2 linked regions of the Xenopus tropicalis genome follow. The protein of the gene in region 1 binds, or shares a complex with, the protein of each later gene. Links are inferred from orthologs where the notes say so. Each region holds a gene or a part of one and is shown on either strand. Other genes may lie near its edges.

What was found.
Region 2: camlg (region 1) and get1 share a complex: the UniProt entries of both Homo sapiens proteins name them as parts of the golgi to ER traffic (GET) complex. The link is inferred for Xenopus tropicalis from reciprocal best matches to the Homo sapiens genes CAMLG and GET1.

What each region holds. Positions count from the first base shown.
Region 1 is NC_030679.2:26,210,253-26,225,846, reverse strand, and holds camlg (calcium signal-modulating cyclophilin ligand), read left to right. Parts: upstream 1-6,397; 5' UTR 6,398-6,524; coding exon 6,525-6,675; intron 6,676-6,937; exon of another isoform or gene 6,938-7,008; intron 7,009-7,254; coding exon 7,255-7,676; intron 7,677-8,584; coding exon 8,585-8,650; intron 8,651-10,630; coding exon 10,631-10,822; 3' UTR 10,823-12,193; downstream 12,194-15,594. Other genes in the region: protein transport protein Sec24A, read left to right, coding at 1,125-1,228, 1,918-2,032. UniProt on the Homo sapiens protein: Required for the post-translational delivery of tail-anchored (TA) proteins to the endoplasmic reticulum.
Region 2 is NC_030678.2:11,725,051-11,740,838, forward strand, and holds the start of get1 (tail-anchored protein insertion receptor WRB), read right to left. Parts: upstream 10,315-15,788; 5' UTR 10,274-10,314; coding exon 10,181-10,273; intron 5,150-10,180; coding exon 4,984-5,149; intron 1-4,983. Other genes in the region: hmgn1 (non-histone chromosomal protein HMG-14), read left to right, coding at 11,104-11,118, 12,481-12,519, 12,613-12,654, 13,860-13,916, 15,277-15,414. UniProt on the Homo sapiens protein: Required for the post-translational delivery of tail-anchored (TA) proteins to the endoplasmic reticulum (ER).

The sequences.
Region 1 (15,594 bases):
TGTAATGAATGTATATTGCAAAGCTGCTTAGAATTATGTTTTCTATATGGGCAAAAAAATTATATTTTGGGTTGACTTGTCCTTTAAAGAATCTTACCACCAAACTGGTATGCATATGTGTGTGTGTGTGTGTATTGCCCTTTAACATCTTTCCCCTTGATCCACCATTTAAGTAATTGGATATCTGCACCAGGACACCACAAAGGACAGGAATTAATGCAGCTCTAACTGTAACAGGAAGTAGTGTGGGAGCAAAAGGCAGAACTCTCTCCATTCATTGGCTGATGGGGCCTAGCATGTATGTGTGCACTGTGAATCTTATGATCCCAGGAGGCGGCCCTTAATTCTTAGTATGGCAATTTTCTATTTAGGATTGCCCAATGGCACATACTACTAAAAAAGTATATTTTTATGGAAATGGTTTATTTAGATGAAACATGGTTTTACATATGAGCTTGTTTATGCAATATATATTTATAGAGCTCTACATTGTTCAGAGGGTATAGTTTTCCTTTAAAGCAGTGTGCAGTGTTTCTAATCAAGGTGTTTAATACTTCATGGAAGGCAGAAAGCACATAACTGTGACATTTCTGTGTATAGCAACAGAATATGATGGGGATGGGATAATATGTCAATACCCATACATACCAATACACATAAAACATGGGAAAGGGCTGATCTAACTAAACATAAATATGGACTATGTATTCAATGACAGATGGAGAGATGTGGCTTTAATGTGCTATGAGATTTAATTACCAACCATTTTGTTCTTGCAAAGAGTCCATTCCAGAAAAATAAAGGACATAGTAACATAGTAACATAGTAAGTTGGGTTGAAAAAAGACATATACGTCCATCAAGTTCAACCATAATGCCTATATATAACCTGCCTAACTACTAGTTGATCCAGAGGAAGGCAAAAAACCCCATCTGAAGCCTCTCTAATTTGCCACAGAGGGGAAAAAATTCCTTCCTGACTCCAAGATGGCAAAAGTAAAGAAACATGCCTGCTGTTCAAAAATGTCAAGTGAATTAAATTGCACTGAAGAGAGCTGGCTGAAGGCTGCCTGGCTCATCATCCTGCTGCTATAAAATGTTAATGTGCATCTTTCTTTGTGACAGAATCAGCTGCCTGAACTTGATACGGCTGAATCTGCCAGAGCAATAGCTTTTATCTCCTGGCTCAGAGAACAGAGACCTTTTTTCCCAACATTACATATAATACGGTAAGTAAACACATCTCTGACCTGGCACAATTGGCCTTTCATTGAAAGGGGAAACTGTTCTTAAAGGGCTAGTTACACCAAATTGGTTAGGCTGCCTCGCACTTTTGTATATATATATATATAATAATTTATAATACTAGAAATGTGTGTATAATTGTTTCTTCAGAAGTTCTAATGTGTGAGCATTGTTTTTATTATGTTTTCCATTGATAATGTTGGTCCCTAAGAGTGATGGCAGATAGGACATTTTGTCGCCCCTGCTAAATCTCCTCAAACACAGGCAACAAAATGTCCAAAAATTCCTTTGTATTGGTGTTAGTATGTAAATCTCTGCTGGCAAAACCTTTGAACTCAGTCTACACTGAGAGAAGGTAATATCTGGCACTGACACGATTCAAAGTTTTACCATTGGAGATTGATTCACATTAATGACAGTGCAAAACTGCTTTCCCATCTTCCAGTGCCCTTTCTGTGCCCACTGCTCTAAAGCTTGGCTTAGTGATTTTCAGAAACAAAAGAAGCAGCTGTGCAGGGGTTAAAAGGTGCCTTGGGAGTAGCACTGTCTGAAAGTGAAGCCATAGTCAAAAATATCATCGTAACCCAGTGTAAGAGAGAGGTTTCCCATTAAAACATGGAACACTGCCTGGTAAGCAATGAAGTGTGTAATCTCTGATTTTGTGTTCCTTCAGCGATGAAAGCCCTCTGAAATCAGCCTTCCTGCAGAACATGATCGAAGACCGAACAGAATCTGCTTTATCTTACTATGAGTTCCTCCTGCACCTTCAGCAGCAAGTGAACAAATAAAGCGCTGCCGAGAGCAGAGAGCGAGACAATATCCACAGCAGAACCACACCTCGTGGCCTGCCCATTCTGTGCATTACTACATTTTGGGGCCTCATGCCATAAGATGTGCATACACTGTGATTTCAAACCAATCAGATCTTCTAGGACAATACTTGGGGACTGAAATGCGCAAGCACACAGCATTTTTAAATTGGATTTAAAAAAACAAAACAAAAAATTTGTGATGCTTCTTTCTGCCAGATGATTGTTAAAATAACTATTAATGAATCGTTAATTTTCCACTGCCAGATGGGTCTTTAGACACTACATAGGACTCTTCTTGGCACCAAAGCATCCATGCGTATATTCAGGAGATGAAACGGAGTTCAATAACAATAAAGCCAGATTTTTCTTCAGAATATCTATATTTTTTTCTTTCTGTCTGCTTTCCTGTAACTCTTATTTTGCTGCTAGTTATTTCTTCTGTAATGGCAAGATGTCTAGAGTAATTATATGAATCGTGTTCCAAAATAAAAATGAAACCTTTGTTAATAAGATACCGAATCACTTAGGACCAAAGTGAGTAAATGGCAGGCTGAGAAGTCATATCCTGGCATATCCAGGTCTCTGTAAGGGCTGTGCCTAAGGCAATAGGATAAATCTGCAGATTCTCAATATAGAAACAGGCAGAGTGCAGAGATAAGAAAGCAAAAAGCACCATGTCTTAAGAATGTATGTAAAAAATGACCATGTAAAGGGAAAGTAAACTGTCATGGTTCTTATTTTGCAAGAGCTTTGATTCTTTCCACATTTTTAAACATGTTTTAGTTGCAGAAAACGGAAAAATAGTCCTTTTTTGGTAGCATGCTTCAATGATGAATGATAGTGTGGAACATGAAAGTCACCAAAAGTGACATTTAAAGTTATAGTAACACGTTACTTGTGTGGAGTTTTATTTTGTACACATTGTCTTAATAAGGAGGGTTGTTGAATGGGAGCAGGAAGCAAGCAATTAATTCCCCTAAAGTGGGAATGATCCTTTTTTCTTTTCTATGCCACCCGCCTTGATTTATAAAAATCAAAATATTGCTTGCTTTGCTTTTGATTTAAAAAGGTTTCCTTCCTTTCCCTCCAGGAAAAAGTCTGCTTGCCTTTGTACACTACAGCTTATTGTACTAAGCAGGTTTCAAGGCTTCAGTCAAGCTCACAATGTTATTCAGTAACAGGCACCAAAAGCAACCCGCAAGAGTCTCTTTATCACTTTGGTTCTACATAGGATTGCACCTTTGACTATTAGATACACTGATCAACCCCATCAACAGCCGAGATGCCATGTAATGAGTCTCTCTGCCCGTCCCCCTTGTATGTTTAATAAGCTGGCACAATTTTCTACATTAATGGCTCTAATTTATTGTGAAGTGAACTGATAGAACAAAATGTGTGTAATAACCTTAGATTTTCTTTGTTTTAATAAAAAAAGCACCTTTTATTCTGGGATTTCATGTTAATAAAGTTTTTAAAGAGTTAATGTTTTTCCCAGTTTCATCATGTTCAGCTAAGGCATTGCTAGTTCTTTCCTACCCTTTTCTGTCTTGCTAGAACAGCAAATAGCTGCTGATGGAAAGCGTGGCAACAAAAATGGAAATTTGTACAGGTATGGGACTTGTTATCCAAAATGCTCAGGATCTGGTCTGGATAAGGGGTCTTTTTGTAATTTCGATCTCCTTACCTAAGTCTACTTAAAATAATATAAACATTAAATAAACCCAATAGGATTGTTTTGCCTCCAATAAGAATCAATTATACCTTAGTTGGGATCAAGTGCAAGGTACTGTTTTATTATTACAGAGAAAAAGGAAATCGTTAAAAAAAAAAAAAAAAATTATTGCTTATAATGGAGTCTATGGGAGATGGGCTTCTCTTAATTCTGAGCTTTCTGCATAACGGTTCCTGAATAAGGGATCCTATACCTGTGCAAAGATACTATTTGCCCCTTACATTATTCTGTTTGATATGCTCCTGTATATGTTCATAAAGCGCGATCGTCAGGCAATGTTCTTATGTTTTTTAAAGGAGAAAAAAAAGGTAAAAACTAAGCTTTATCAGAATGGTCTATGTAAATATAGCCATAAGCACTCACAGAAACACTGCACTGACTTCTCTGTAAAAATATTTTTTGGGTCTGTTTTCCTCTGTTAGAGACACGCAGCTCTCTGCTCTCTCCTCTCTCAAGAATGCTAAGAAACCCCCCCCCTTGGATCTGAGCCAATCAGCAGGAAGCTGACTCATAGTCTTACTAACTGAGCATGTACACCGGTCTTGCGCTTGGTGCAGGAGTGAGGCATTATGGGAACTTTCTTTACACAGCTCAGCGTTTTTTCTTGTATATATGGGGAGACTTAAGGGCACTATTGAGACAACTGAAGATATGACTGCAGCTTGAGATTAACTCTTTATTAGCCTTTCCTTCTCCTTTAAATATTTTGTTGGCACCATGCCCCCCCCCCCCACCCCAATTAAATTGTTTCCTTGTCCTTTAAAGGAAAATAAAGAATATGGCTTGCCCCACGTGAAATTTCCAAATTAAATATTAAAAAAAAAAACCTGTTTGTACTTTTGAAAAACAGATTTCAATGCAGAATTCTGCTGGAGATATCAACTGATGCATATTGGGGGGAAAAAACATGTTTCCCAGGGTGCCAAAACTTGTGCTCTGATAAACTTCAGTCTCTCTTTACTGCTGTGCTGCAAGTTGGAGTACTATAGACCTCTTAAACTCTTGTTCTGTACCTCTTGTACGGAATACCTAAATTTGTCAACAATTCCGTGGTTAGGCTCATTGTGTCGGGTGGTGGGTTCATTGTGAGATGCTTTTTGCAGTGTGTGGAGAGTTTCTACTATCCCCAGCCAGTGCTTATACCTTTTGCAGCTTGTAGAGTATATTCAGAGTCACAAATACACAAATTAGTCAAATCTTAAGGTATGGTTTCATTGCCTTGCACTGCTTCTATACCACCATTATTTGGTTTACTTGCCAATATGGCTTTCCAGCCTTCCAGCTGTGCCATACACATTAGCAGCGGTGAAAGGCTGAAGATGGGTTGTATCAGAGAAAGTAGGCAGAAGCCCTGTTTCCATTGCTGTGAAAGGGAGCAGTGGCTGAAAGGTTGGGGAGATATATCTCTGCACTTCTTTATTCCATAAACTCCATGTCCGCACTCACTGGGTTAGTATCTCCTCTCATGCTTTAAAAGACCACTAAAGTGCCAAAGGGAAACCAAAATGTGGACGTTTTCAGGAAAACGTACAGGGTAAAACTTAGGGTACTGATAGGTTGAACAGCAAAGTCCTGTTAAGACTTAATACAAAAAGCAGAGAAATTTGCGCTGAACTTGCAAGCAGCACTTGTGGCTCTCAACAGTGCTCAGAACGCTTACACTGTACATAGCAATGTCTGAAGCACAGGGAGAAGCTCCCACAGTGTATTAACAAATAGCCAATTTTACTAGATGAAATCTACCAAGTTAAGGGGATGGTGAGATAAAAAATGATTGGACCCCCTGTGCCTGGGTACTCAATGACAAAGAGTAACCCTCACATCAAGGTAATCCGTATTCAGGATTCTCCCAAGCCATGAGGAGTCATAAAGAGTACAAAATCACTAAACAGTATATTAAATCCTTTAATGATAAATAATCACAAAGGGGGTGATTTATTAACGGTCAAGTTTAAGTTTTTTTGTGCTAAAAAAAAAAATCTAATTTTGTTTCAAAAACTCAACTGTCTGGTATCTGTTAAGCGCAAAAAAACCCGAAAACCCAAATGTAAAAATTCATCTAAATTCACCAATTCACTATCTAAAAGCTTGTAGGTTTCTACAGAAATCAATGGGAGTTGTCATAGGCAAGGCCAAGCCATACAGATGCTGAATTCTCCCTTCTCCTCCTGTTAATGCTTGTATGGCCTGACTGAATTAATCAAAAATGCCAGTTTTTTTTTATATATTGGATTGACATAACTTTCCTCCAATCCTTTAGCACCATAATAGATAAAAGGATGCCCAAGAAAATTTTAAACAGTGGCTAAAACTAAGCTAAGCTGTCAGTAAGCAATAAACACCACATTCTGTCAGCCACTAACACTGAGCATTTGTACAACAGAATGGGTCCCGTTACTCTGACTCCTCTATTATATATTCAGACGAAAAATAATGATTTAAATTGGCATTTTCAGCTGGATAAACATAATTATGTTTCATTCAATGTCACTGACTATGTAACAATGTTTCCAAAATACCTGCAACAAGCCTCTCTCCATTTCTGCGTTTGGCTTATTCCTTAGCCCCGCCTCTTCCTGCAAGCAAGGTCAGGTGACCGTAATGTCATGGCACGCCCTTCCCCCTGCCCGGAGGCTGTCAGCACAGAGTGGGATGTGAGCTGTTCATTGTGCCAGTGCTTCTATAGAGCGGACGGGGAGGCATTCGGGATTGTCAGAATCTCTGCACCCAGGGACTATGGCGAGTCCGGCTGTTCCGGGAGAGCCGGGGAATGGGGCGGCGATGAGTGCATCCCAGAGGAGAGCGGAGATCCGGCGGAGGAAGTTGATGAGTAACTCTGAGGAGAGAATGAACCGGATTATGGGTATTCACAAGCCAGGGAACAGCGGTGAGACAGAGGCGCAATCATTGGGCTACATGGCTGTGTGAGACAGCGGCAGCCGCATTCATTCCTGTGCTTTATTGTGCATTGGGCGGTGACTGTGCCATAAACCCCATGGCTCGCCTGGCAATGGGCCTGCTATATAGGGAGATGGAGAACTGTACAGTCATTATAGGGCTGGGGCTGTGTGGCACAGACATGTGTGGGGCAGCCAGGCTGCAACAGATGTACACATGTGTATAGTGTAGGGCAGCGACTGTGCGGCGGCCAGGTGTATAGTGTGGGGCGGCGACTGTGCGGCGGGCAGGTGTATAATATGGGGCAGCGATTGTGCAACAGGCAGGTGTATAATATGGGGCAGCGACTGTGCAACAGGCAGGTGTATAATATGGGTTAGCGACTGTGCTGCAGGCAGGTTTATTTTATGGGGTAGCGACTGTGCGGCAGGCAGGTGTATAATATGGGGCAACGACTGTGTGGCAGACAGGTGTATTATATGGGGTAGCAGGATTTTTTCTTGTAGACTGTCAATGAATTTTAATATTGTAAGTGCAACTTTTTTTTCTCCCCCATTTTCTGGTGCAGATGAACTTCGCTTTGAAAGACTTGATAAATCTGATTCACTGTCCTTATCTTCCTTGACCAAGAGAAGTGATATCCTTTCTGGGGATGGAGGCCTTTCAGCAGAGCACCACTGTAGCAGTGTAGATGGCAAGGAACCTTATATTGGAGACAAGATGGACTTCTTAAAGAATGCTGATGTCAGAGATGATAGCAATGGCGTACGAAACAGAACAGATGTGAATTCAGAGCCCACCTCAAGAGGATTAGATGAATACTTATCAAGGTTTGATGAGGCCATGAAACTTCGGAACCAGTTAAATAGTGAGAAGCCAAGTGCAGACAATGGGAATGGAGTAGATGAGTTGGACTCTTTCCGCATATTCAGACTAGTGGGCAGTGCGCTCCTTGCTTTTGCTGTCCGGATGTTTGTGTGCAAGTACTTGGTAAGTAGTTTTCTTCTGTTAAGATGACCACATAGTACTTGTCAATCAGCATATGCATAGGCATGTAGTTAGATGTGCCAGATAAACATAATTATTTTTGTGTTTATCTGGGTTAGTGTATTCTGTAGTGTTCGTGTATCTTGGGGGGGGCGGGGTGCGGCACACACAGCAATCTACTACAGGGTGTAGAGTGCCCCACGGAGTGTGTGCTTCCTCTATATTTACACCATTGCTTCTTGGCAATCTTCTCTGAAATTAGCTGTAAGGCTTGTTATCTCATGTAACATTTTTTCTGTTGTTAGCAAAACTGCTGGCACAGAGACACCAATGAGAGTTTCCAGTGGCTCCCATTCACTTGAATTGGGAATGGGTTGTGCAGGTGTAGCGCTTTTAGGGGCCCAAACTTAATAATAAAAGATAATGTTACTATATTGTTGCTATATGACATTGGGAAACTACTGCATAATGCTGGCTTGTTGATATTACACTGCACAGTTATACAAGACCTGGCTATTCTACTTTCCCCATGGCTGCTTTACTACAGCTATAAAATAACTAATATAATTTTAAAAAATTAGAATCAAAGATCAGTTAGGGGTCGGATAAAAAACTATTGTGCACTTAAAACAAACTTGAAAGAAGAAGAAAACTGCAGATTGCTGTGCTTATTTGTAAGTGACTAAAATTGCTTGCTTTTTACCTTAGGCCAGCGCTTCTCAGAGCCACACACTGCCCTGGGGTACTTCCAGTCCTTGCACCACCCCAAACTTAAGTTTACTGCACATGTACTTTGAAAGGGATACATAGTAGAGGAATAAATGCTCTGCAGAAAAGCACTATGCACAGGATACCTTTTGCTAACACTTTTACCTCCAAAGTGATTGTGTATTTTTGTTCTTGTTTTGCAGTCAATATTTGCACCATTCCTAACACTACAGCTTGCATTTATGGGGTTGTCAAAATATTTTCCAAAGGTAAGCTAGTAGTTTTAGATATGACGCTTTTTTGTTGTTTTTCTAGTAATTTTCAAGACCATTGTAAATAAAAATGAAAAATGTTATAAATTGGTTACGGGATCTATTCATATTCATAATTCTCAGGAACTGCTGGTGGTTTCTTTATATGGGACCATTCAAGACTTATGTTTACGTCAGTCTAAAGTCCTATTATTGTGCGATTCTTGTGCGGTAGTTTACTAGACTAACAGTACACAAATAATCCTGCTGCATAATAATGGAATACGGAACTCAGTGTCTGCAGTTAAACTTAATTAATGGTAACATAGTAAGTGTGAAAGCAAAAATGCTCAATTACTGGTTTCTACAGGTATGGGATCCATACTCTGGAAAGCCATTATCCAGAGTCCATTTTGGACAAATAATTACATTTTTTAAAAATGATTTCCTTTTTCTCTGCAATTATAAAACAGTACCTTGTACTTGATCCCAACTAAGATATAATGAATCCTTATTGGGGGCAGAACAGCCCTATTGGGTTTATTTAATGGTTAAACGATTCCCTTTTCTCTGTAATAATAAAACAGTACCTGTACTTGATCCCAACTAAGATATAATTACCCCTTATTGGGGGCAGAACAGCCCTATTGGGTTTATTTAATGGTTAAATGATTCCCTTTTCTCTGTAATAATAAAACAGTACCTGTACTTGATCCCAACTAAGATATAATTACCCCTTATTGGGGGCAGAACAGCCCTATTGGGTTTATTTAATGGTTAAATGATTCCCTTTTCTCTGTAATAATAAAACAGTACCTGTACTTGATCCCAACTAAGATATAATTACCCCTTATTGGGGGCAGAATAGCCCTATTGGGTTTATTTAATGGTTAAATGATTCCCTTTTCTCTCTAATAATAAAACAGTACCTTGTACTTGATCCTAACTAAGATATAATTAAAACTGCTAGCAGTAAATTTCCCATCTCTCTCTATGGGAGGGCTGACCAGCTTTTATCAGCGTAGGGTCTGCTTTGAGCAATGCTATGCATCATGATCTGCAAGAGTATTATCCAGGTCCTGTAACAATTTGATAGAAACTTATTCAGCAATAAGAAATTCTACATTGCTAATCATTGTTAACCAAACACCACTTATCCCTAAAGTAATAGTTTATTAAAACATGAATACGATTAGTAATCAGAGGATTATCTCTGTGGATAAAGTTCCTCGCTTGAGCTCTGCTGGCTGTGAGCTGGGCTACATTATGGGCAGCATTGCTGTATGGGAATCTGGGACAGGATGATTGTGGGGCTTTTACAATGTCTGTTTTCTGCCCTTACACAATGGTGGTTAAAATTACATGTAGTCCTGCAGCGGGTAGGATGTGGGTCTGCAGGTCTTACCCTGTTTCCCCGAAAATAGGACATCCTCCGAAAGTAAGGCACCCCCCTGATTTTTCACCCCCTCGGAAAATAAGGCACCCCCCGAAAATAAGACACCCACCCAAACGATGGAATAAATGTGTACTGTATTCTTCTTCATGGAAAAATAAGACATCCCCTGAAAATAAGACCTAGTGCATATTTTGGAGCTTAAAAAAATATAAGACAGTGTCTTATTTTCGGGGAAACACGGTATCTATATTTCTTATATTATTTATATTTTACTCCTTTAAACATTTTTTAAATTGTTTTTTTCTACCCCACCCACTTCTGATGATGTCACTTCTGGTTTGTAGCAACAGCACTTCCCGTTTAATGGTGGTCAGCAGGTTGTGATTTGGGTTGTGGATAAAGCAGTTGCAGGTCGGCTCGTGTTGTGGGTCCAAGGGGGTAGAAATGTGGGTTGTAGGCCGTGGGTCTGGTTTCAAAGATTGGTTCAGCACAGGACAGTGTGGGCCATAGCTCTAACAACTGTTGGTAAGGCCTGAAGACAGGCTCGAGAACCTGTAGGATAATCTGATCTTTAACTATGGCCTTTTGTTTTTGTCTTTCAGGGTGAGAAGAAAGTTAAGACAACTGTACTCACTGCTGCCCTTCTTTTGTCTGGAATTCCCTCCGAACTTATAAATCGTTCACTGGATACATATAGCAAGATGGCAGATGTGTTCACTGACCTGTGTGTCTACTTGTTTACATTCATCTTCTGTCATGAATTGCTCTTATATTTTGGCTCTGAGATTCCTTGATAGCTTGTCATAGAACAAAGGAGAGAGTTAAAAGTGTGTGCCAGGAAACAGAATAATTGGAAAGAGAAGTTCTTTTGATTATACAGTCTCCCTTTTACTGAGGGGTGGAACTTGTTACTGTCTGAGGGATGGGACATGTTTCCAACGAATAGTGGAGAATTTTTATGCTTTCATCCATTTGTCAAATGTCTTAAGATTTTTCAGTGTAGTGTGTGTCCCCTAAGTTGGGATAATTATAAAGATCTATCACACAGATATAAGATCCAATTGGAGTTGCAGAGAAATTACCTTTGGTGTATTGTACTGTTTTTATTTTTTGCCATTTCTTGTCAATATTAAGTCATTAAGCACCAGTTAAATAACTACATAAACTATATTTTCAAGAGTTCTTCTGATTATTACCTGTAAATCAAATTGACCGTAAAAAAAGTATCGTAATGACCATATCATACAACTGGGCCAAATTCACTTGGTTGTCGCTAGACATTAAATATTGTTAACGAGGGACAACGCAAACATTATTATTTAAGCATGATGAAATGATATATCCAGCTAATAAGCAGTCAACATACCTTCCTGTCAGAGCAGTTAGTTACAGGTTTGCCTTGAACTTCAGTGAAAGAGTGGAAGACTGGCGGATTTAGCTAAAATTTACTAATTTCTGAATTTACTATCTTTTAATCATGGAAGTATTGTTCAAAGCAAGATAGCATAGCACCATTTATACTATGTTAGTTGGTGGACAGTAGAAGCAGAATTAAAGATTTAGCTATGAGCTATACTGTGTGAGCCCTGTGTGTTGTTTTCTGGCCACTCTCATTGAGCAGGAGGGCAGATTTTATCAGTACAGGTTTGGGACCTCTTATCCAGAATGCTTGGGACCTGAGGTAATTTCTGCATAATGTAATGTGGATATCCATAGCTTCAATCATTTAAACATTAATTAAACCCAAAAGGATTTCTTTTATTATAATGGAGTCTATGGGATATGACCTTCCTGTAATTCGGATCTTTTTGGATAATGGGATACTGGATAACGGATCTCATACCTGTATGTGATAAAGATGGGTTTGCCTCTTCACTGTGAATTTTTGACTGCTATATATGAAGCATGTCAGACTGTATCAGCTTCCAGCACAGCACAGCGCAGGGATGTTTGTTGCACTTTCTTTTGCTCTGTGGCCCCTAGACTCTTCTTATACTTTTAATTAGATGTGGTCCCCAACCTTTTACATTGTCATGTATCAAATATTTTCTGTTTGTTTTTTTTTAATTAAGTTATTGTCATGCATTTTGCGGTTTTGTATATATGTAGTAAAAACTGCAGAATTACTTCGTTATCATTATTAAACTAGTTAACAGTGAACTTGAGAAAAGAGATGTTTACCCTTTATGTGCTGTAGATTTTTCAAATGCAGTGTGTGCAAAGTGATATTAGTAGACATGGTCTCATTTTTTTTTTCTTAAATTTTCAACCTTTAAAGGAGAACGGAAGTAATTTACCTATGTTAGTAAAGCCTTCCTCCTGGCCTGCACAACTGCCCCCCACCCCTTCACATGTTTAGTGTGGACAGTCAATTCAAAGAGAAGGTTAAAGTGGTTATACACCTTTAAATTAACTTTTAGTATGACATAGACATTAATATTTTGAGAAAACTTGCAATTGGTTTTCCTTTTTTATTTTTTGTGGGGTTTTTTTTCAGTTATTAAGCTTTTTGTTCAGCAGCAATCCAGTTTGGAATTTCAGCAGCTATCTAGTTGCTAGGGTCTGGTTTACCTTGGCAATCAGGCAGTGGGTTAAATTATAGACTGAAATATGAAAAGAAGGTGAGCTGAATAGAAAGATAAGGAATACAAAGTAACAATAGCAATAAAATTGTAGCCTCACAGAGCAGTAGTTTTTGACCCCCATGAAGACCAACTACAAAGTTGCTAGGAATAGGATATTCTCTAACATATTAAAAGTTAACATTAGGGGGAATCACCACTTTAAGTGGCACAAGAGGACTCCTGCCAACCCACTGCGATACCCTGTTTTTTGGAAACAGCTAGTGAAAACATGGGAAGTAACAGATATTTATAGCAACTGACCCCTGCGCTGTACCAGGGAACATATTTGGAGAAAACATAGGACATTTTATAGACAGAAGAGAAGTATAAGAAAGAGTTTCCCTTTTTTTAAACTTGATAAATACAGAATTTTAAAGATGCTTGCTCTACAGCTTTTGTACTTTAATATGACTCTTGTTGAGTTGTACGATTATTGTAATTTAGAGGTGGTGTTTTATCTGATGCCTCCCACAAACCAGTGCAGTCCCACTTTTCCACATAGTGGACTAAACATATATATGAAAAACAACTTGCAATAAAAATGTAATAATTAAATTGCAATAAAAAGTAAGGCACTAGCCTGTGGCAGCCCTACCCTCCATAAATATGATTTGAATGCGTGACCATGGTCAAGAGCTATGCTATGTGGGCTCATTTACGATATAAGATGCCAAGGGGTTTATGTTATAAAAGGCACTAAGTTTGCCCAGGAGCAGTAATCCATAACAACCAATTAGAAGGTAGCTTTTACTGGTCACCTCTTTAAAAGTAAATCTTATTGGTTGCTATGAGTTACTGCACCAGGGCAAACAAATATTGGCTGTTGGGGGATTCTCTGCAGCCCCCTCTAGCGCCACCCACACACTTCCTGCTGCACAGATCTGCAACATCCTTCTCTGCTCTTCTCCGGATACAGAACCCCCCACACTAAACTTTTCAGCTTTGGCTATATAGTCATATTGCCACATATAAAACATTTCTATTTCTTAATCATTTATTTTGTAGCCCATTCTGCATATTTTGATTAAGCAATAGTAATGTATTACACATGACAATTTAAGTAGGCAGCCATACAAAGGTATTTTTGGCCAATTTGTTGACAAAGCACCCCTTGTGTCATTACCCTATGGGCTGTAAAACCCAGTGGTTCTGCACACTCTCCACTCCAAGGGCAATGACCTCAGCAGCTAAAACTGAATACATTTTTTTCACCTAATGCAATTTTATTTACCAAATAAACATATATATGGTTCTATGGGGCTCAGTTACCAGTTCCAGTAACAACATTTAAGGCAAAGTTCCTTGTTCCTAAAAAAAAAAAATATATATATATATATAATATACCATAACATACTCTGTTTGTTGTTATTGATTACATAAAATTGAATCATTTGTGTAAAAAAATCTTATTTTATATTCTATATTTTTTTTTCTTTTTACACCAAATGCCTGTAACAAGATAACTACTTTTGGGGAGTTGCACGCTTACGAAGGACAAGGAACAGACCCCATGGGTATAACTATAACATTTACAAAACTTATTCCATAAGAGAGCAGAAAAAAACCCAAAGAATTGAAGCTTGACACTTCTGTTCTAATATAAAAACACACTTTATGGCAATTGCTAGTTAAAAACATGTAACTGCACAAGTTAAAAATTACAAAAATGGTTGCAAAACCATAACATATTAGGAGAACTAAAGCAGTAGTGCAGACATGCTGCACATTATGTTTTGGGCTTTAGTACCAGCCCCAGTAGCCCCCCTCATCATCTTTTCTGCTGATTCACTGCACATGCTCTGTGCTGCTTTCAGTTAGTGACCTTGGGACCGACTCACAATCAGCGCCGGATTTCAAATCCACCCGCCCCGAGTCCGCCCCCCATTCGCGCCCCCGCCTCTCCCCAGCGCGCATGCACGAACAAACCTCCCCACCGTGCTGTGCTGCGCCGACGCAAGTGCGCATGCGCGGCCATTTAAACTCCCATACGGAGCAGTGGGGAGAAGTCCCCATTGCTCCATATGGCCACTAAATGTTAAAATATCATTGCGACGGGGTGGCATACTGCCCCTAAAATTGTGCTGCCCTAGGCCCGGGCCTTTGTGGCCTCGCCACAAATCCGGGCCTGCTCACAATATACTGTATATATACAATATAAGGCTAATTAGTAATTGATACAGATGATTGCTGCATGTCAGTTCAGAAAATAGTGAAATCATCAGAATTCGATAATCAGCCCTGTAGCATCATCTTATGTGACAGGCCAGCCTCATTTTCTGCTTGATAATTTGCGACAACCCCTAAGCTCAGCTTCTAAACAGCCACTCAGAGCACACTGAGCATGTGCAGTGTCACTGACACTTCCAACAATATTGAAGATGTGAAACTCCTGTGACAACTTTGAAGGCACAGATCACTTTAAGGTTAGTACAGTAAAGTCAGTATATATAAAATATTTCATATTCTTTTTGAAGATTAAATTATAACCCTCAGGGCAGCAAAATGCTTGAAAATGACCCATGCATATGGTCAGACTGGCTTGGTAGAGGACCAACTCTGTACTTTTACTAGGCTGCATAATTCACTAGTTCAACAGGGATATTTTATATTGGAACAGAATGCAGCACTAGTTTGTATGAATCAATTTACTATACAGTTATCAACTGAAGACTCTTCCTACCTTGGTCACAAATATCCAGATCCTTCTACTTTTGGACTTACAAATCTTTTAAAAATCCTGGTTACTACCAGACTGTAGCACAAAGAGTTGAGCTTTCCTCTAAATACAGTACTATCTGAATTAGGCACATAGTACTAATCTGAATTAGGATAGGTGGAAAGTGGGCATGAATGCTTAAGCCCAGGTTGCAGGTCCAGACTGGTACACAGAGGCCCAAACAGCCCCCCACCAGCCTAATAAATAGTGATAGCTTATGGTATCT
Region 2 (15,788 bases), on another chromosome or scaffold:
CATTTTATAAGTGGCCCCCCAAAAAAATAAGAATCTGAGGGTTTTATATTTCTAACGAAGATTGTTTTTTGAGGTTTGTATCCACTGTTCGATGTACCCAAATTACCACTTTGATGGGACTCACCAGTGCTACCATTTCAGATATGAACAGGGTCATCAACCAACCAGGCATTGGGTCGGGTCTGGCTACAATTCCACAATAATCTGAAAGGGATACCAGCTGAATCAATCTGATCAGTGTAATGAAACAAAACATCTTTCCCACTGTAAGTACTGGGCTACAGGCAACATCTCCATTGCACACCTCTGGCATTTTGAGAGCAAAGAACAGGTTGAGGAGCAAAGCTTGGTCGAGCTAATAAACGGCATTCTATAACTGGATCTGCTCATATTCTCAACAGAAAATCAGTGACCTTGTCCTTGCTGTACTGTTGTACACAGGAGTCAAGGTGTCTGCCTCAGCTCCACGTAAAGGAACAATAAGACCAAGAAATGAAAATGTATCAAAGTAATTAAAATATAATGTATTGTTGCTCTGAACTGGGAAAAGTTGTGTGCTTGCCTTAGAAACCCTACTATAGTTTATATAAATACCCCGCTGTGTAGCCCCGGGGGCAGCCATTCCTGCACTGGTACAGCTGGGGTGTTTGCTACAGAAACCCTACTATAGTTTATATAAATACCCTGCTGTGTAGCCCCGGGGCAGCCATTCCTGCACTGGTACAGCTGGGGTGTTTGCTACAGAAACCCTACTATAGTTTATATAAATACCCCGCTGTGTAGCCCCGGGGGCAGCCATTCCTGCACTGGTACAGCTGGGGTGTTTGCTACAGAAACCCTACTATAGTTTATATAAATACCCCGCTGTGTAGCCCCGGGGGCAGCCATTCCTGCACTGGTACAGCTGGGGTGTTTGCTACAGAAACCCTACTATAGTTTATATAAATACCCCGCTGTGTAGCCCCGGGGGCAGCCATTCCTGCACTGGTACAGCTGGGGTGTTTGCTACAGAAACCCTAATATAGTTTATATAAATACCCCGCTGTGTAGCCCCGGGGGCAGCCATTCCTGCACTGGTACAGCTGGGGTGTTTGCTACAGAAACCCTACTATAGTTTATATAAATACCCCGCTGTGTAGCCCCGGGGCAGCCATTCCTGCACTGGTACAGCTGGGGTGTTTGCTACAGAAACCCTACTATAGGGCAAAGGTGAAGGCCTTTCCACTGGCGATTCCTATTGTTGCCGATGGAAAGGCATTTTTGTGAGGTTAGTCGCCCGTGAAAAACAGAGATTGATAGTGGGCGACTATCAAACTCCATTAGCCTGACCTCTGGATTGCTTTAGTTTCTCAGCACAGTGGGCAGGAAGCAAAGTGAGAACAGACAGAAAATTCCCAAAAGACCACTCTGTGTCGCTTTTCCCTTGTATAGGACCTCTCAAGTGGATCTTTGCTAGTGGTTAAAAATCAGGCTGATCTGATCATATGCCCTTTTGAACCAACAATCAAACCACATGGGGGCGTCCAAACAAACCCACCAGACGGGGATCTTATTGCAGTCCTTCACTGATAACATTTTTCCAGCCTGATTGAAATCTAAATGAGACCTAATGACGTTTGGTGTTGCCATCGTTCCAGCCCTTCACAGGGGCCAAATGGCTGCTGACATTATTATTATTAACATTTATTTATAAAGCGCCAACATATCCCGCAGCGCTGTACAATAAGTGGGTTACATACATTGGGCATACAGAGTAACATATAAAGCAATCAGTATCCGATACAAGAGGTGAAGAGAGCCCTGCCCATAGAGCTTACTGACTTCAACAGAATCAACAGAAGCCAGAAGTTCAAAAAAATTGATTTCCTATTGAAATGTGCCTATATCCTGTGCAAAACTGTAATATGAGCGCACTATTTGGGATATGTGAAATGTTACTGTGTGCACAGCCACATGTAAAGTTACAAATACACAATTTTAACATTCCCTAAGCCACTGAGAAGCTTTACACACTATGGGGCCGATTCACTAAAGGTTGTTAACACTTAGGGGCTGATTTACTTACCCACGAACGGGTCGAATGGAGTCCGATTGCGTTTTTTTCGTAATGATCGGTACTTTGCGATTTTTTCGTATGTTTTGCGATTTTTTCGGATTCTTTACGAATTTTTCGGATCCAATACGATTTTTGCGTAAAAACGCGAGTTTTCCTATACATTACGAAAGTTGCGTAAAAAGTTGCGCATTTTGCGTAGCGTTAAAACTTACGCGAAAAGTTGCGCATTTTTCGTAGCGTTAAGTTTTAACGCTACGAAAAATGCGCAACTTTTCGCGTAAGTTTTAACGCTATGCAAAATGCGCAACTTTTTACGCAACTTTCGTAATGGATACGAAAAACTCGCGTTTTTACGCAAAAATCGTATTGGATCCGAAAAATTCGTACAGAATCCGAAAAAATCGCAAAACATACGAAAAAGTCGCAAAATATTCGTTTTCAAGTCGGAACTTTTCCAATTCGGGTCGGATTCGTGGGTTAGTAAATCAGCCCCTTAACGTATAGTTTTATGCGTTAAAAAGTGTTCGTTTTTTAAGTAACGATTCATCAAAGTAATTTGGCATGCGTTACTACTCATAGCGCATGCGCAAAAATCTCAAATATTGCAAAGCGCTGTGTCCATCACATTGCGATAATTATTTAATAGAAATAGTGCTTACGCATAATTTACAGACATATTTTAAGTGTTAAAAGCATAAAATCTGGCGATAATAACTGTGAAATTTAACACCTCCCAGGAGTAGGCGTTACTAAACAACAGGGATGCACCGAATCCCGGATTTGGTTCGGGATTCGGCCAAATCCCGGCTTTTTTTTTTTTAAGGATTCAGTTTCGGACAGATCTGCGGTCCTGGCCGAACCAAATCCTAATTAGTATATGCTAATTAGAATTCGGAAAGGGTTAAATGGCAGTGAAATTTTTTTTAACCCCTTCCGATCCTAATCAGCATATGCTAATTAGGATTCGGATTCGGTTCGGTTCCTGCTGCGTGGGTTCGGGAGTTTTCATGGAAATGGTAATTTTCAGAACAGTAGTTTTCAGAAAGTAACGGTTACGTGCGTAATAGTGTGCGCTAATATTGTGTGCTATGAAATAACGCATAAATATATTGCATGCTTTAAAATATCGATTAAAAATATGTCATCGCAAAATTTACCCAAATAGCTCCCCATACTGTTGGAGGGGATGTACGACCAGAGGTACCCTAAGCCACATACTATGGCAATGCCCCTTGGTAACAAACTACTGGAAAGAGGTGAGCAATCTAATCAGCTTGGTACTTGCATTGCCACTAAACATTCAACTACCATACCTCATACTGGGACAACCCATAGCGAGACTTAAACGCCCAGTTCAAAAACTAGTAAACCACATCACAACAGCGGCACGATTAGCACTTACTTCCAAATGGAAGTCACAAACTATCCCCAGTATATTCGAGGTTTATAACAAGAGTGGAAAACAATAAACGATTTGAAACTATGACTGCCTCTATAACAAATAATGTACAATCAAATGCCAATGTATGGTCACCATGGGAAGCCTATTTCGCATTGTACCCCCAGGAGAGCTCAGAAAATCCCATAAACACAAATATCATACATGATGGAAGTTGAAAGCCATATCTTAAAGAAACAGTAACACCAAAAAATGAAAGTGTATAAAAGTAGCTAAAATATAATGTGCTGCTGCCCTGCACTGGTAAAAGTTGTGTGTTTACTTCAGAAAGTCTACTATAATTTATATAAATAAGCTGCTATGTAGCCATGGAGGCAGCCATTCAAAGGAGAAAAGGCACAGGTTACATAGCAGATAACAGATAAAACACTATTGTATTCTACAGAACTTATTTGTTATCTGCTATGTAACCTGTGCCTTTTCTCCTTTTTTCCAGCTTGAATGGCTGCCCCCATGGCTACACAGCAGCTTATTATATAAATTATAGTAGTGTTACTGTAGCAAACACACCAGTTTTACCAGTGCAGGACAACAGTGCATTATATTTTTAATACTTTAACGCTCTTTCATTTTTTAGTGTTACTGTTCCTTTAACAAAGATAGAGGTTGTAGAACTACAGAATATACAAGGTAATAATGTCTGGACTATATTACTCACTGTTCTATCGGTTCTAAATCTGTTAATACCATGTTTATCTCATTTATATATCAAAGGAAAATCCCAACGAACTAATTGTCAAGATGTCTTGATGAGCAATGTTTCATATGTATTATGTGTATTGCATGATAACTCTCCAAATAAAAATTTGAGCTACAAAAAAAAAAAAAATATGTCATCGCAAGATAAATAACGACAATAAAATCGCTTCTTCATTCACACAAGTCTCTTTTTTGTGAATCGATCGTTAATTCTCAAATTATAAGAAGTGATATTTTTAACGCATGCTAAAAATAAAACTCGTTTTTTCGACCTTTTGTGAATCGGTCCCAATGTAATCAAAGACACTAACCCCCAAATGTAATAAATGGCTTGCTATTGGATAAGAGGGAAGCGGATGAAACCAAACATAACGCTCTACTGTTTGCTCCCAGAAACTGCTTTTGCCATGGCCTCAATTTATTCTGAAATATCATCAAGCAATTTCTCACTGCAGTTTCCAATGTAGATAAACAAATGTGTCCCAATATGAATATGCAGACGTAACAGAATACGATCGCTACAAACCATCCGGGACACATTTGCATTAAAGGAGTTAATTTGATTGGCTTTTGCAAACATGGCACAGCGCTAATACTCTGATCTAGTTAGAATACATACGTTTCTCTGTGCATATCCGCACTCCTTTATAGCTTACTTATTTATAATGAAAAACACATGATAAATGGAATTTAACATTACCGACTGAATTCATCATAGTAAAGAGGGAAAGCTAAAACATCGCACACTGCTGAAACCCGATCACTTTACCATGTGTTTTAAGTTTGTCGGTCATCTTGTTGATTTTGCGTTCCAATCTGGCGTATTTGGCAAACTCGTCCATCATGCTGATATTAGAGAGTTCTTGCCTCATGGTCTGGATATCAGACCTCATCTCATACTCCTGCTCCGCATCTTCCTGTAGTAGCCTGGAGACCTGCAGGGGAAATACAAGATTTTTGGGCATTTATTTATTCACTATCCACATCTAAGACACGAATGTGGAAAAGAGAAAAAGTATTATCATCATTACATGGAGGTTTAGGGAACATCCAGGCAAAAACCTAAATACATAGTAACATACGTAAGTAGACTCACATCCATCAAGTTTATACCCATCTGAAACAGGTCCAGACCAAAATTTCAAATTTAAGGTGGCCATACACGTAGCAATTTCGATGTTAGAAATTCTACCTCCTTCTGTCGATTCAGCCCTGAATGTAGATTTTGCTCAATGGCACCAGATCAAAATCTTTTAACCTGGCCAATTAAACGAGTCGACCAATATCCACAGCCTTTTGCGATATCGCTTGGCTCGTCAAGCCACCATACACTCACCAAATATCATACGATATTATCAGTGCGTGGATGGCCGGCTTAAGCCCCAGCATTTCAAGGCCTAAGAAACCCCACCAAGCCCAGTAAACAATAGTATATGGCATCTTACAGCAGCCCCATTGGCATCAATGTGTTAAGAAGGCAAATGTTGCACAAGAACACGAAAATCAGTTTACATGTTGAAATATCGGCAAAGCAGAAGAAACTATGACTGTTTAAATGCCCTGTATAAGTAAACGGAGATCAGGGGGGCATTCAAGGTAAACTGATAGAATTTGTAGTCTCCTGAGTTGTAAACCATAGCAGCCAATTAGTGATCAGTGATAGTAACCCTGTTTAAAATAATCATTGTTTAGTAAAGGTTTCTGTTCAGGGGTACCAGGAGAATTAGGCCTGCTCACCCTGGATCACTGCTTTCCCTCCCCCACTCCCCCCTAACCATTTTGGAGTTATTGAAAGAGGGCCTGAGGGAGGAAGTATGGGACGGGAGTAGTGGGCCCTTGAGGCGGTGGCCCCACACACCCCAGTCCAACAACCTTCCTATTTCAACCTAAACATATTACTAGTTGTGTCAATTCCCCCTACACAGTCTGTTAAGGGTAGGGATGTGCCATTATCCAGAAAGCCCAGAACTAGAGCAACGTTGTCTCCTATAGAGTCAATTATAACCACATAATCATTTATCTAAATGATTTCCTTCTTCTCTGTAACAATAAAACAGAACCTTGTACTTGAATCCATACTGGTAGCGAAATAATCTTATTGGGTCTATTTCATGTTGAAAAGTTTGTTTCGAAGACTAAAGGTGGCCATACACGGGCCGATTGTAGCAGCCGATATCGGTCCCTTAGACTGATTCGGCAGCTTATCGGCCCGTGTAGGGGCAGGAACGAGGGGCCTGCCCAGCCGATATCTGGCTTGAAATTGGATAGATATCGATCAGGCAGGTTAAAAGATTACGTCGGATCATTGATGCGGTCCCCGAACTGACTGCGCCCATTGCTCCCATTGTAATTCGATCACTTGGCCCAAGTTACAAACAATCAAATTAGCCTACATTTTCCCGATATCGCCCACCCATAGGTGGGGATTTTGGAAGAAGATCCGCTTGCTTGGCCACCTCGCAAAGAGAGCGGATCTTCACGTGTATGACCACCTTTAAGGTATGAAGACCCAAATTATCAAAAGATCTTTTATCTGGAAAAGCCCCTGGTCCCAACCATTTCAGATAAAAGATCCTCTCCTGACCCTGGCAGCTAGAAATGTCTGTGTCTCTGTGAGGCACACATTTTATTACTCAGTTGCCAATGTTCTCAGAATATCACTTAGGCTAATGCCCCATGAAGAGATTAGTTGTCCGCGATAAATCTCTTTTACCGTAGTCGCATGAAGTTTTCTACCACAGCCAAATTCTTTGCACGACTTTGGGAAAATGAAGCAACGCGTATGCCTTTGCACCAGGGATTCAATTTGCTGCTGGTGGAAGGGTATTTCGAGGAGATTAGTCGCCCGCGGCAGCAGAGATTTATAAGGGGCAATGTATCTCTCCTTGGGGCATTAGCTTTAAAGGTGAACAACTCAGCAGCTGGAATGCTGTAGTCAGTTAGCCAATGGGGCTTTTTTGTGTTTCTGCCATTTGCTCGACAATCAGGAAGCAACAGAACTACAAATAAGTAAAGGCAAGGGACCTGTTATCCAGAATGCTCCGAACCCGATGTTTTCCAGATAAGGGATCTTTCCATAATTTGTACCTCCATAACTTAAGTCTACTAAAAATCATTTAAATATTGAATAAACCCAATAGGATTGTTCTGCCCCCAATAAGGATTAATTATATCTTAGTTGGGATCAAGTACAGGTACTGTTTTATTATTACAGAGAAAAGGGAATCATTTAACCATGAAATAAACCCAATAGGGCTGTTCTGCCCCAATAAGGGGTAATTATATCTTAGTTGGGATCAAGTACAGGTACTGTTTTATTATTACAGAGAAAAGGGAATCATTTAACCATTAAATAAACCCAATAGGGCTGCTCTGCCCCCAATAAGGGGTAATTATATCTTAGTTGGGATCAAGTACAGGTACTGTTTTATTATTACAGAGAAAAGGGAATCATTTAACCATTAAATAAACCCAATAGGGCTGTTCTGCCCCCAATAAGGGGTAATTATATCTTAGTTGGGATCAAGTCCAGGTACTGTTTTATTATTACAGAGAAAAGGGAATCATTTAACCATGAAATAAACCCAATAGGGCTGTTCTGCCCCAATAAGGGGTAATTATATCTTAGTTGGGATCAAGTACAGGTACTGTTTTATTATTACAGAGAAAAGGGAATCATTTAACCATTAAATAAACCCAATAGGGCTGTTCTGCCCCCAATAAGGGGTAATTATATCTTAGTTGGGATCAAGTACAGGTACTGTTTTATTATTACAGAGAAAAAGGAAATCATTTTTAAAAATTAGAATTATTTGCTTATAATGGAGTCTATGGAAGATATCCTTTCCATAATTCTGAACTTTCTGGATAACGGGTTTCCGGATAAGGCATCCTATACCTGTACAAAACATAAATTTTAAGTTAAATGCAATTTTAAATCAGTGCAAAACATAAATTTTAAATTAACAGATTTTTACTTAATGCATCCTCCACTTTTGCAGCCATCTATCAAGCGGGGTTCAGCACCCAGTACTCGCAAGTAACATTCACATGATGCCATTGGACACAGGTTTGAATGTGCTTAACATACTTTGCTCCATAACCTCGAAATAATAACATTTGTGTAATGCAAATATCCCTTTTTATTTACCGATTCTACCCCCCTGCTTTTTCACCCACAATAGAATGTACATAGCTTATTTTTTTTAAATGTTAAAGAAAAAGTATTTTTTTTTTTTTTTTAAAAAAAAAAAGGGAACTGTCAGTGGAAACAGTTGGCAACCATGAGACATAAAGAGATGACACAATGGTGGCATGGCCGTCTTGTGATGTTTAAAAAAACACTTGGGGACGCACTGGGAGAAAAAAAAAAAAGCTGACAGACAGCAGAACCCTCCATACTTGTTAATGGCAGGATTTCCTAGCATTAGGCTTACCCCTTTCCACTCCTAGCCATTTGCGGAATTAAACTCTACCCTCCCAAGGGGAGATGTTTGTAGAGTGTAAGCTCTTTTGGGCAGGGCTCTCTTCCCCTCCTGTATTGGTTATTAATTGCTTTATTTGTTACTCTGTATGCCCAATGTATGAAACCCACTTATTGTACAGCGCTGCGGGATATGTTGGCGCTTTATAAATAAATGTTAATAATAATAAATGTTTCCCTTCATATAGGGGTTCCCTAATGCGCGTAGCCGATATAAACCTGCAATATAGCAGTGCTTAACGTGAGGGAAGGTTATAATGATGCCACAATAAAGATGGCAGTTGTGACATCGCTATAACAGGCAGCAGATACAATCCCTAGACTATATTCCATATTAAAACCAGCATTCTATGGGGAATTGGGCTGCAGCTTTGCCAATGCTGTGTATTAAAGATCAGGCACCTCTATATTCCTGGAGCACTAGGAGACTTTTTTACTCATTTTCTAACACAACAACCCTGTCCCCCTTCTTCCTTAAGGGTGAAGACACACAGAGCTACTAGTAGCAGCTACTTGTCGTGGCTACTAAAACAGACAATGCTGATCATTTACTGATAACTGTCTATGTGTGTTTTAGCAGAGGCAATTCTCAGTATTGTCTATGGCAGGGGATTTTCTGGCATTTTGTAGCCGTGACAAGTAGCTGCTACTAGTAGCCTAGTCTGTCTTCACCCTAAGGGTGTGGAATACACTGAGCTACTAGTAGCAGCTACTTGTCGTGGCTACTAAAACAGACAATGCTGATCATTTACTGATAACAGTCTCTACGTGTGTTTTAGCAGAGGCAATTCTCAGTATTGTCTATGGCAGGGGATTTTCTGGAGTTTAGTAGCTGTGACAAGTAGCTGCTACTAGTAGCCTAGTCTGTCTTCACCCTAAGGGTGAAGACACACGGAGCTACTAGTAGCAGCTACTTGTTGTGGCTACTAAAACAGACAATGCTGATCATTTACTGATAATTGTCCCTGTGTGTGTTTAGCAGAGGCAATTCTCAGTATTGTCTATGGCAGGGGATTTTCTGGCATGTTGTAGCTGTGACAAGTAGCTGCTACTAAGTAGCTCCATGTGTCTTTGCCCTTAAGGGTGAAGACACACAGAGCGACTAGTAGCAGCTACTAAAATCCCCTGCCATAGACAATACTGAGAATTTCCCCTGCTAAACACACACAGAGACAATTATCAGTAAATGATCAGCATTGTCTGTTTTAGTAGCCGTGACAAGCAGCTGCTACTAGTAGCTCAGTGTATTCCACACCCTTAGGGTGAAGACACTACTAGTAGCAGCTACTTGTCACGGCTACTAAACGCCAGAAAATCCCCTGCCATAGACAATACTGAGAATTGCCTCTGCTAAACACACGTAGAGACAATTATCAGTAAATGATCAGCATTGTCTGTTTTAGTCAAGTAGCTCCGTGTGTCTTCCCCCCTACAGCATATCGTCCCCCTCCCGCGATTCTCGGGCGATCAGTCGCTTACTTACAAGCGAGGAGAAAGAAGGAAGCAGGATTTTACAGAGATTGCACAGAAACACGGCGCTCAGCACTAACAGCCACGCCGCACAGCTCTCCGCCATGTTTCCCAGCAGCTCCCACATCGGCTGCAACAATAGCGATCAGCAAACCCCTCCCCCTTTAGAGGTGGAAAGAATCAAAACATGATATCGCTATAAAGATCTATAGGACAAAGATAGTTTTTTTTTTATTATGGTCGGTACCAATTGGATCTATTGTATCCCCCCCCCCCACACACACACACTCAGCAGCGACGAGATCGGGTTAAAACAGCGATCGCAGGGAACAGCGTGGATAGTGACGTCGCTCCAAGCACGATGCGTCTCAGCCAATCAGCGAGCGCCCTTGTATTTACCACCAGCGATTCAAACAAACGTGAAAAAAAAAAAAAAATCCCAAAGCCGATTTACTACCCCACCGCCGCCACATCCCCCCTTAGGGAGAAAAGGAAGGAGGAGGAGGGGAGGGGGGGGGTGAGTGACAGGCTAACCTACCCAGACAGGTGCCCGTGTTATGGTTTGAAAATCCACTGAGAGCCAATGGAAAGGGGGGACCGGGGTGGGACATACGCTTCCCCTCCCCCCATTCTCTCCAGCCCCCCCAACAGGTTAGAGCGGTGAATAGATAAAGAGGCGGAGGGATCCTATCCGGTTTGAACTAGTTCTCTGGCTCGCATATTAACCGCTTGCAAGCGCTAGGGAGCCGACTAGTCTTTGTGAGTACTCCATCTGCAGGAGGGCTCGCACATAGAAAAAACAAATATATATATAAATAAGTGCAAGCAAGCCAGGGATTTAAGTGTGTAGGCGTCCATTTGCAGAGAAGGCTGCTAAGCGTTCCCGTTGCTTCTGTCTTTGGATTCAAGCGGTGCACACAAGCCCTCAGTGCAGCCATGCCTAAGAGAAAGGTAAGGAGGAGCGCTGCAAGGACGCGGAGGGCTCCCTGCGAATATTAGCGGGAATTGCAAGCGGCAAATGGGTTTATGTCGGACGCGCGTATTCGTCCGCCGTTCGCTTTCTACATGGATATATCCGCGGTGGATAGAAAGTCCGCTTGTGGCGACGCCGAGGCTTTGAAAAAAATGGCGGTGGGATACCTTTTTAGAATGTGGTGCATTTGGAACTTTTCCTACTGGAATTGCAAACGCTTTTACTTTAATGGGGGGGAAAGCAGCCCGCACTATTTTTCTTCGTTTTCCTGAGGGGGTCGCGGTGACTTGCTGAGGGGGGGGGGGTTCCTATTAGGAATGGCGGGCTTCTTCGCTTGGGGAGACGGCGTAGGAGGTTCCGCGTTGATTTTTGTTTTACTTTAAACAACATGGAGGGTTGGAGTTTTAATTATGGAGAATGGCGGGAGGCGGCTGTGGCGGGAATTCTGTGAGGTAATGTCGTCGGGAGTGCACGACCACAACATGGCGGGGGTTGTGTGTGTGTGTGAGAGATTGTATACGCTGCAAGTGGCCCTCCGGGGGATTGCAAGTCTAACCTCCAGCGGGCCATTAGTTGGCCCCTCTATAGAGGCGTGTGGTGAAAACAACGAGGGGGGTGTGTGTAAGAGGAGTAATGTCGGGCGGGAGGGGGTTGGACGAGATGAGCGCTCCTTCCCTCTACTGCCCCCTCCTCCTTCTCCCTGCGTTTCCCTCGGCTCTAGTTCTCTTCAGCGCTCCTTCGTTCGGACTGGTCAGCGCCTGAAAGGGGGAAGGTCTTGCTCGTTCTAGAACGTTCCCGGATCCCCCAGAGCCAATGGGGCGAATGATTGAACTAGTGACGTCACTTTATCATTCCCTCCCCCCCCCTGCTAGAGTTGACATGGGCTGCCCCTGTGCGTGTTATCTCCGCTGAGGGGACTGTACCATTTTTAAGGGAAGGGGGGGTCGCGCAATAGATAGGTGGCATTCGATTCCTAAGTCGACTAAAGAGTAATTGTTTAAGTGGGAGTGGGGGGTAAATCCGTTACATGGTCATGACGAGTGCGTGTTTGGGTTACCAGGCGTCTTTAATTCTTCTTTAGCGCGCCCACCCCTCTCCTTCCGTGTGTGGTTTGTTTTTGCCTTGGAGTATTGGTTTACCTGCTTAGCGCCATCTGCTGGTGCGGCGGGTCACTAACCTGTTGCAATGGGTATTTGTGCATTGTCTTGTCCAAGGTCATGTACTGTGCGCTTATCAGCGCTGATACCCTGCCCTGATCTAAATCCCTTTGCCCGCAACCTGTCATTCTTCTTTGTGTTTAATACTGTGGTGTTGTGACTAATGGCACTTTCTTATTCCAGCAGGTGAATGCTGCTGATGCTGCAGATGCCAAGGATGAGGTGAGGAGCAGTGATTTCAACCAAAACACTTCTCAAAAGTTTTATTACTTTGCTGTATCTAATCATATTTTTATATTTTTTTTAATTTTTTAGCCCAAGAGGAGATCGGCACGGTTGTCGGCTGTAAGTGTTACGGTTTGTATCATTCATGGAGCTCAAGCATTTTTTGTAGCAATTAAACCTTGGTATTGAGGCGGGAGTTCAACAAAATTTTTTCCTTTTACATAAAAAAAGATAAATTTAATTAAGTTGCTCTCCTGTGTGTGTGTGTATTTGCAAATAACATTTTAAAGGAACAGTAACACCAAAAAATGAAAGAGCTTTAGAGTAATAAAAATATAATGCACTGGTAAAACTGGTGTGTTTGCTACAGTAACACTACTATAATTTATATAATAAGTTGCTGTGTAGCCCCGGGGGCAGTCATTCAAGCTGGAAAAAAGGAGAAACGGCACAGGTTACATAGCAGATAACAGATAAGCTCTGTAGAATACAATAGTGTTTTATCTGTTATCTATGTGCCTGTGCCTTTTCTCCTTTGAATGGCTGCCCCCATGGCTACACAGCAGCTTATTTATATAAATTATAGTAGACTTTCTGAAGTAAACACACAACTTCTACCAGTGCAGGGCAGCAGCACGTTATATTTTAGTTACTTTTATACACTTTCATTTTTTGGTGTTACTGTTCCTTTAACTTAAGACAGTATGTCTGACCTTTGGTGTTGCCACCCGAAATGCAGCAGAACTCTGTTCCCCTGCCTTGCACGCTTGTTATCCCTTATTGCGAACATGCAAGGCATTGTGGGAATTTGAGTCTTGGCTGATGCTGCATTCAGTTGTCAGACGATAGTAATTCGATTTAGACATAACTTATGAAATCATTGAACGTAATGTATATTGGAAGCTTGATGAGACGAGCATAAAGTGTAGTTCAGTGGCCATGTTTAAGAGTATCTACATTGATCCATTTATGTCTAATTTTTTGAGATTTCAACTGAGTTTTACACATGTTAGATTTTCTCCTTCACTTTGCTTGTTAAAGGGGAGCTAACCCCCTTTAAACAGGGGTTTACTCTGCAGGCTTTATTGAGCTCTCTTGCAGTTGATATTAACTTTCCACTTCTAGTTGTCTGTTTGCATTTTAGACTGAACTTTTGGCTTTGCTAAGAGTCAGCAATACAGAATGCAGGAAGTGAATAGACAGGGTAGCTCTGTCTTCCAAAAAAGTTCTTGGCAAATAATATTTAAGTTGCAAAAGTGCTCAAACTGTTTATTATTTGAGTGGTTAAGATTCTATATAACCAATCTGCCATTATTAACCATCTGAATTTCTTGTAGAAACCAGCCCCACCAAAAGCTGAACCAAAGCCAAAAAAAGACAAGGCACCCGTAAAGGTAACTAACTTTTATTCGTTTGTATTGCTTTCAAAACATTGCATGTTTAAAAACAAAATTGGGACAATAGCTAATAAGTCTTTCTCCCAGTTAGACTGATGCCTACACTTTCCATACATCTGTCAACCTTGCTTTTTATGCCTTTACACTGATACCTTGAGTGACTTGTAGCAGGCTAAAATTAGGTTTTATTTTTTTCCCCAGAGCAAGCCACTTGTTTTGTTGGGCACTGTCCCTTTAGGTCACTGTCCAGTTTATTTTTAGCATGCTGTCAGTTTGTGTAGCACAGGGTACCCAAAAGGCAGATTGTGATATAGAAGTTAATTTTGAATGCATGGCTAGAGTATTGTCCACAACCCACATCATTGGGTAAAACTCCAGATGTTTAATGATGGCTGTGCATCCCAACTTTTTTGCCTCTGGGTTGTCTTGACACTGTCAAGAATGAAATGTTATGTCTCTTGGTAGATGAAGTGAGATGACCTGCAACTATAGTAATTGGCCAATACTATATTGCCATTTTTACAGTATGCATTAGGTTGCTTCCTATTACAACTTAGGTGGTTTTGCACAAGTGCATTGGGAGCTTGGGTAGTGGGTATGTTTCCCCTTGCCCCATTTCCTAAATGGATTGAGTAATTATATATAACTGTTAAAATACCATAAGAGCAAAAACAAAGGCCTTCAGCATTTTTAATACGCTTCTTGCTGTAACACTAGTGCCATTTGTATAGACAAGTGCTGTGGTAGCAGCAGAGACTACAGTGAGAAATTTAAACATTCAATAGGGTGGTTACATGTATCTAGAACTATAAATAGATTCCTGCTTTAAATATAAAATGTTTACAGTACTTTTTCCAAAGGGGTTTTAGTGTGAAGTAGACTGATACATGTGCAGTTTGCAGTTGTTCTCCATATCAGCTCTAGTTTGGTATCTTTAGTAGCTTTCTGGTTGCTAGGGCCCACCAGGTAGTTGTTTGAATGACAGTCTGGAAGATGAATAGAGGGATAAGTAAATTAACCATATAATGTTAACCTCAGCAATAGTTACCTGGTTGCTGGGGTCAGTGAACTCTCCTATCTCCAGCTTACAGTTTAAAGTGCAAAAAATGAAGGCAGACAAGAAATAATGTGTAAAAACCATCTAAAGTAGGAGGTTCTAAAACATACTTAAAAGTGAGCTGTCACTTTAGGATAAGTTCACTAGGACTATGTATTCAAATGTTCAGAACCAAAGATGCAGGTCCATACTCCGATCAGTTATATTGGAGTTGTGATTTGCCATTTATGATGTAATGGCAGTTGATGTAGCCCGTTGTGATGGATATATGGCTAACTCTTATACTGTCACTGTGTTCAGGAAAAGCCTGAGGAGAAGGAGAAAAAAGTTCCAGCAAAGGGTAAAAAGGGAGCAAAGGGCAAACAGACAGAGGAAGCTAACAAAGAAGAAGCTAAGGAAGACCAGCCGTCTGAAAACGGAGAAACAAAAAGTGACGAGGTAAGTCTGCAGCATTGCAACAAAGTTAATATCAAAGACTCATGTTGAAAGTGAAGATACAAGATCTTAGTCTGCTTTTCCTGGTTAATCGTGACTATTGGCATTTATGCATGAGTTTAAACCTCGATACATGTATTAGACAATTAGCACAAGTGTTTGTGTATAAAGAAGCAGTGCTGTGGTTAGGTGTTGTTGTGAAACCTCAAGCAGCAACTCTAATGGAACGGAGTTTGTACCATAGCAGTTTCTTTTACTAATGCACAGTACTTGGCAGACATGAAAACTTTTCATAACAAAGTTTTGTTGGTTGATATAAAACCTTTATTTAGGGATCATAGTCTTTTGAATTGCGTAGGTGTCCATTGACAAATTGG